2 linked regions of the Nothobranchius furzeri genome follow. The protein of the gene in region 1 binds, or shares a complex with, the protein of each later gene. Links are inferred from orthologs where the notes say so. Each region holds a gene or a part of one and is shown on either strand. Other genes may lie near its edges.

Region 1 (3,654 bases):
TTTAGAGTAAATAAAAAAAGTTGATTAAATTCTGTAACTATTGTACGTTCCTGAGCTTTTGTTCATTATTTTTTGTAGCAGCTTGTGAAAAACAAACCTGAAGAAGATGAGATCATGATCTGATCCCTTACCTTACCATTACACGGTGACCTAACCCAGGAAACAGACCAGAACTAAGTCTGTACCGAGGCAAACCACAGAGCCTAATGACAACTAAATCCTAACATCACATCCTACCTGTGGCTCAGGTGTGCCTGCTGTTGGGAACTACAACCAGGTAAGCTGTGGTTTGTGAGGTGTAGCCGTATCGCTCACCTTTCCACACTGTTGTGATGAATGCACCCATGAGAACCACCAACAGCGTAAACCATGCCGTCGATAACGCCGACTCCGATCCGGTTCCTGGGAACGCTCATCGGTGCACACGGACGCCAGCAGTTGTTCATAGGATTGTAGCAGTCCAAAGCACTGGAGTCCATGTTCCCGTCTGGCGCGTTGTTCCTGCCCCCGACAGCATAGAAAAGCCCACTGATCACACAAGCTGCCAGGCCGCTGCGAGGTACCTGCAGGTCTGCCAGCCTCAGCCAGGCTCCAGTACAGGGGTTGTAGGCCTCCAGGTAGCTGAGAGACTGACGAAAGTAACCCCCCGCTGTGTAGATCAGCTGCGGCACCATGGGCGTCCTGCAAGGAATTGCTTTGGTGGGTTTGTGGAGCGTGAGGTCCTGGAAGATTTGGGATAGGTAGTCTTTACACTGAGGGTCCCAGTCCAAGGACTGGAGCTGGGTCTGCAGGAAGTTAGGGGTGAGGGAGTGGCAGCGGACAGCCTGGAGTAAGGCTTGGACATACGGTCTCCGGTTCTCCCGGTCATAGCGCACCCAGGCCACACATGCCTGGAAGACTTCGGACTCACACCGCACATTGAGCTCATCGCGGCTGATGAGGTTGACCAACTGGCAGTGGGACAGGTTGAAGAACTCCTCCTGGGTTGCTACCTGGAAGGAGAGACATGGAGACATTTGTCCCACAACTATAATGACTGTCTGTGGATTTCCTCTAACCGTTTCACCTGAGCTGCTGTAAACGGAGCTGAGAGGTCTCAACCTGAAGTCGACTAAAGTCGCCAATTGCATTTTTTTATTGGGCGAGCGTGGGAATGAGCCTCTGCAACGTGAGAATACACATCCCGTTTCTAAAGCTGATCTTCATCCGTCTATATCACATGTCACATGATCAGGAAACAGAAAATCCGTTAATCAGGAGATCGTTTTGGGCCGCTGGTGTGAAAAAAGCGAGGCGCCAACTGGAAAAGCTTCTGCTGCTCACAATTCAACAACAGATTATGAATGAACGGATAACGCTACAAACACACGGATTCTTCCTGATGTAAGCACTCTTTCTTTAGGAAGTTTTGGTATTTACATGAGCATAGAGCACAATGGTCTGTGACTCTTCAAAAAAAACAGTAAAAACGCTCAAAAACACTGGCAGTCCGGGGCTTTCTGATCAGGAAACGGCTGGCAGTGAATGAGTTAACGTTTACATCATGTACTCATATGTGATTCTGTGGTTATTGACGAGCACGAGTGTCAGCAACAGGAACTTCTGGTGTCACCAGGGGTCAAGCCTGGCAGAAACGTCCTATTTCAGAATAAATAATCGTGAGTTTTGAACGTGATTTAAAAAATTAGGTACAATTTTCACTTAAGTCACCTTAAAGCTAGAAGACTTAAATCTGCTGAGGAGTTGGGTCATCCCAGTGTTCCAGTAGTGGTTATTTAGAACATTAACAAAAAAGCTGTTTCAATGAAAAATACAGTGATCCCTCGCTACTTCGCGGTTCGTTTATCGCGGATTCACGACTTCGCGGATTTTTTCTTTGGAGCCTTATTCAAGGGAAATTCGCCAATTCGCTGTATTTTTCACCGATTTGCGGTATTTTTCTATGCGAAATATCAAGAAATTCCTGGTTTTTTTTTTCATCAATTTCATCATAAAATGCACTTTTTGTAATAAAACTATAAAAAACCAAGTAAAAAAAATTTTTCTTGAGTTTTACCCACAAAAAGAGAATGTGATCATACGATAGATCATTCAATATAGTACTGTACTGTAAATATGGTGTCCCTACTTCGCGGATTTTCAGGTCTGGAACGCATCTACCACGATAAACGAGGTATCACCTGTACTTCTGAGGTGACGAATGGTCACTGAGCCACCTACAATACAGCTGTGGCTCTGCCTCAGGTGGTCCTGCAGCTAGGGCTGCAACTAACGATTATTTTCATAATCGATTAATCTGTCGATTATTTTTTCGATTAATCGATTAATCAGTTTGTTATTGTTTAGCTATTTAACCTATACAAGTGATGAATACATTTCAGTTAAGAAAAAGAAAAACATAAGAGAATTGTGCAGTTGACTGCAATCTATTTTATTGCACATGAACACAGTCAGTGGTGTAAAATGAGCTAAACAGTGCAAAATATCAGTCCAGAATAATTTTTTGGTATCAAAATATAAGAGGTAAATTCCATAAAAAAATAATGTAGAATCTAGAATAGAGTTTGTAAGTGGTATGCATTGCTGGGGTGAGTGTCTTGTTCCCCATGTAGTTGTCCATCGTTGCTTGTTTTTTTCTGCATAAGAAACACAAATAAACTGAATTAAGTACACATATAAAATAAAACAGCACACACACTACAACACTAAATCAATATTACATTATTTGAATTAATTAACAATATACAGTGATAATTTATTTTGACAAAAATGTGTTGTGAGGCGTTTTACAGTGTTAGACGGTAAAACAGCCTTTTAATAGTTAAAAAAAGGACTTTCTGAATTTCTCCTGTATTTAAAAATTGAAAGCGTACAACTATGCCGCGTTATATTCACCTGGACACAGCTCGTCTGTATATTTTTCTCCGCGGAGTTGTCCTTTTTTGAATGAGGAACACAGTTATGGGTTTGTGCCGTTTTTCTCTTAACGAGAACAGTCTTATAAACAGACGTGCTAAATTTGGCAAGCGCATGATTCACAACACAGAGGAGATTCACGATTGAATCTAGTCAATCAGAAGTAGAACACCGTAAACTGACGCGGCAAAAAAAAAAAAAAAACATGTTTAACATCCACTATAACGAACTCAGCTAAATCACTAAGTCTCAAATTTGATCTGCGTTAGCTTGTTTATTTTCTGTGACTTACCGGACATTCCTCTGCTGCATCAGCCCCCACGTTTTCGTCTCAAATGTTCACTTAGGGACGTCGTGCTTCCGTCGTGCCATGGTTTTTGCATATTTTGCAGGTCACCGGTCTTTTCAAGGCATCTAGTGAAGTGCTCCCATTCTCGTGAGGTTTTTGTCCGGGGTTTCTCTTGTTTTGTCGCTTCTATTTTTCTTCCGTATTTCTTGTTGATCCGCCATCTCTCACAGCAAGATGAGCGTCAGTAACGTGATACGTCATGAAAACTGGGGGCACTTATTGGCTCATTTCTTCTTCTACGGCTCCACTGGTAGATCAGTGGCTCATTACTGCCACACACTGGCGGCAAATTTAACAGATTGTAACCGATGTCAGATTGTGGTAAAAAATAGACTTTATGCGGTAAAATATGATTATTAAACAACTAATCGATGACTAAAAAAGTTGTT
Region 2 (3,754 bases), on another chromosome or scaffold:
TCATCTTTCTTCCAAGAAATCAGACTTTCTTATACTTTTCAAAAAGCTCTTTGTCATTTATTCTGATGGTCTATCAAAGTTTTTCATTGAACTTTGGCAGTTTTTTTCTCTGTCAAGTGCAAACTTATGAAATATTTAGACATGAAAGTCTCAAGCTCAATAGAAAAACAACACTATTTTGTCTTTGACAAATTTGAAAGAAACTATTTTTTAGATTACCAAGTTAATTGCTATTAATAGGCATAAAAGCAACTTTCCCCACTTATTTAGATGAATAAAAACTAACCCAACAGTTTGACACGTAAAGTAGTAGCCTATTTAGCGACAAAACACACACATGGTTGAACTATGAAGTATCTCTCAGGTCTTGAGTTATTGTTTGAAGGCATCTCTTTGAGATTATTTTACGACACTTGAGTTTTCATATTTTGCAATTAAACAATAAAGGAAAGGAACAAAAAGCTGAAGGAGATCAGAAACACTACGTGATGATGTAACAGCACAATGACCAAAACTTGAAAACAAATAATCAAAATTCACCTTTTAATTATTTTGACCACTATATGTGACATAATTGTAAAAAGAACCTGTTGTTATGCAGTGAATCAGTTGCATACTTTTTACTGAAGACATGCAAATGTATGATGCAATGTGACATCTAGGAATTGTTAGAAAGTAGCCAAAATACCATACAAATACCTTTAAATGTGCTAGTACTATTCAAAAATAGTAAGTTACCACATATAAATAAGTGCTTTTTAAAACAGCCTTTATGTCTCCAAGAGGCATTTTCAATAAATGTACAATTTTTTTTAATAGAAATTTTCCTGTTGTCAGTAAATAACCTCAAGGAGACAGGAGAAGCCATGGCGTCCAGTCCCACACCCAAACCACCAGCAGGGCTCGCTGTTTACCAAACGAAACAAAAACATTGATAGGTAACAGCTGCAATGTTTGGAGAGGCCAATTTAAGCACAAAATATCTTTTTTAGATATAAAATTAAGCTCACGTGGATATTTGAGGATAATTTAAACACGTGTAAGTAAGTTGTGTAATAACTACTTGGGTACCAGTATGTTAAACAGTTATGAGTTTAGGCCATAGACTGGTTTAGGCAGGCTGGCATAGCGCGCATGCGCACAGCGGGTCTTATGCTCCTGTCTCATAGGCCGCCGTGAGTGGGACGATCCCGGAGCCGCAGCTTGGTGGGCGGGGCCATCGGTTCCGTGACGCTCTCGAGCTCCGGAGGAGGCAAATATTTCCCGAAAGTCAGCTGCGGCCGCCCTCACGGACAGTATTGGCCTTACGGACCGCTCGCCATTTTAACCTGCCATTTGTGGATTAATAATACATCCAGTTTTCACCTATAAGGCGTTTTATTTACGTCAGCACAGATCTCCATGATGATGGAAATGGAGGTGATGCATTCCAGTCAACAGGTAAACAATATTTGATTAATTAGCTTTCTTTGAACAAACCTTGTCAACGTCCTCTGTTATAACACTTTAGGTGGCCTTCTTATGTATTTTTAATTAAAATCAAATATCTAAGTTGGGGCAGATTGTACTATTTAATTTGGAATTATTGTGATAAAACATTTAAATAAAACCGGTAACTCATGTAAAACTTTCAGTTCTGCAAGTCATGTAACGTTTTTCTTCGCAGGGAAATCAAAATAGGAATAACATAAAATATCAGTGGCACGATTTAACCGGCGTTGGCTCTTTCCCCCTTGGCCATACAAAGTGTCATGCCTTTAAAAGTGGGTAAACCTGGAGAAAATTGTTTTCTCACAAGAATGCGCGTCCTTTCCCTCTTCCTCCTCACCCCCTTCCTCTCCCAGGCATGTGATCCCTTATCTGATACTGGCCATCTTCTAACCACCATTTTATTATATATTTAAAAAAAACATATAGTAGCTTCTATTTTTGTTGTTTTAAATCTGATTTTGTTACATAAAACACAAAAACTCTTTTCTCAATTGACTAGTTAATTATTTTACTGTGTTTAGGCAAGAATGTTGTCAAAGGGAGCTTGGGTGTTTAAAAATGACAGATCAGAGCCTAAAGCGGCTGTTTTGGAACATGTGTTGCTGTGTTTCACCACTCTCGGTCAAGGGTGAATGTCCAAAGAATAATGATCAAAGGAAAGATCGGCCCCTTTCACTTCCTTTAAATAAAGAACCATCTTAAATGATACACGTGTTCAGATCAGCCTTTAATGTTGTGAAATACTCATTATGGTGACCCGTTTCATTAGTCTTAACTTTACCTGAAAGGATGGTGGTCTGACTGGTGTGGCTGCATGTTGTCGAGGGGAAATCCAAGCTTCCTCGTTCACGTGACCACCTGAGTCTTGTGAAATCCTCATTGACCTTACAAAAGAAAAGCCACCACACTTTAGCATTTTCTGGTTACTCTAAAAGAGAATCTAACTAAAATAAAACTTCTGTGGTGCACAAAAGGAGAATTTTAAGTGCTGAACTTGAAGTTTCTATTTAAGGCCTGACTAACGCAGTTTCTTTTTTTAAGCTTTGAAAAACATCGACCACAGGTGTGTTTTCAGATGCCACCTACACTTTTTTTGAGGACTTCCTCATTCTGCCAAATGCTATAATTTCTGGTTGCATGTTCACCTTTCTGCCGGGGAGCGTGATTTATCGTAGGCAGGCTCAGTAACGTGTAATCCTTTGGCGGTCATGACTCTGATGCAACACTGAGGCAAGGGGTGTTAGTGGCTTTTTATTTTGAAAAGACAAATTCAGGAAAGATTGTGTCAACAGTGTCCAAAAATACATAGGAGCTCATCTGTTTGCTATGGTGGTTTGTCGCTATACGTTTTAATCAGATAGTTACACCCCGTTCGTTTTTGCATTGTTCTGCTTTTTGTGGGTTTTTTTGCCCAGAGTTCAGGATAAAGCCACCAATCAGAAGTAGTTTTTATTCACCGATCTGAGGAACAAACATGTCACGTGCTTCTAAGGTTTTTCTCAGACCGGTGTCTGGTTTCATGCAACATCCTGAGGTCTTGTGAAACAGATTTCTTCTGTAAATAAACTACAGAGAAAAACCCAAGAAGAATGTAAAACAACAACCAACTTTGGGGTTTTTTCATTTAAAGAGCACAAAGCATGATGGTGGTGAGTGGAAACTCAGAAGATTCTTATAGTTGTTTGGTTTCTGATCTGAATTTATGGTGTAAAATTATTTCTGTCTTCATAGTGTACAAGTTGCAAACGAACGTTTGGCTTTAAACTGGTTTAGAAAACTCAAAGGGTCGCATAAAATGATAGGGTCACTTGATTATTGAAGAGTTGGAGCGGGACAAAAGAACTCACACCTCAGTGTAATGAGATGGGTAAGGCTATCAGATCAAGACGCTGTCGGGTGTTTGGTGGCGACAATGAAAACAGAGAACAACATTTATAATTCATTCTCTTCTTCCACTTGGGCTTTGTACCACGTTGCTGACAGCGAGCAGAAACAGGACAGGGTGTGGCAGGTACGACGGCCTGATTTCACAGTTGTTGTTCCGGCACTCATCGCTGCAGGATGGCACGGCAGCTCGCAACTCTCTAAGGTGATCTGTGGCCGTCTTTCCAGGACATGGACCTGATTGACATCCTGTGGAAGCAGGACATCGATCTCGGAGCCAGGCGCGAGGTGTTCGACTACAACCACCGTCAGAAAGAGCACGAGCTGCAGAGGCAGCGCGAGCTGGAGGAGGAGAAGAAGCTGCACCTGCTGCGGGAGC

What was found. Proteins that work in one complex are often made in the same cells at the same time.
Region 2: the proteins of keap1b (region 1) and nfe2l2a are in contact, whole or in part, in a crystal structure (PDB 3WN7), measured with the Mus musculus proteins. The link is inferred for Nothobranchius furzeri from reciprocal best matches to the Homo sapiens genes KEAP1 and NFE2L2. Residues at the interface, in NP_001103775.1 of Mus musculus: Tyr334, Ser363, Gly364, Arg380, Asn382, Pro384, Asp385, Gly386, Asn387, Asn414, Arg415, Ser431, Gly433, Cys434, His436, Ile461, Phe478, Gly480, Arg483, Ser508, Gly509, Tyr525, Gln530, Ser555, Ala556, Tyr572, Phe577, Ser602, Gly603; in NP_035032.1 of Mus musculus: Leu19, Ile22, Leu23, Arg25, Gln26, Asp27, Ile28, Asp29, Leu30, Gly31, Val32, Val36, Phe37, Phe39.

Annotation. Positions count from the first base shown.
Region 1 is NC_091747.1:74,209,380-74,213,033, reverse strand, and holds part of keap1b (kelch-like ECH-associated protein 1B), read right to left. Parts: intron 993-3,654; coding exon 316-992; intron 1-315. UniProt on the Homo sapiens protein: Substrate-specific adapter of a BCR (BTB-CUL3-RBX1) E3 ubiquitin ligase complex that regulates the response to oxidative stress by targeting NFE2L2/NRF2 for ubiquitination.
Region 2 is NC_091754.1:21,645,492-21,649,245, reverse strand, and holds the start of nfe2l2a (nuclear factor erythroid 2-related factor 2a), read left to right. Parts: upstream 1-1,258; 5' UTR 1,259-1,401; coding exon 1,402-1,440; intron 1,441-3,474; exon of another isoform or gene 3,475-3,502; intron 3,503-3,603; coding exon 3,604-3,754.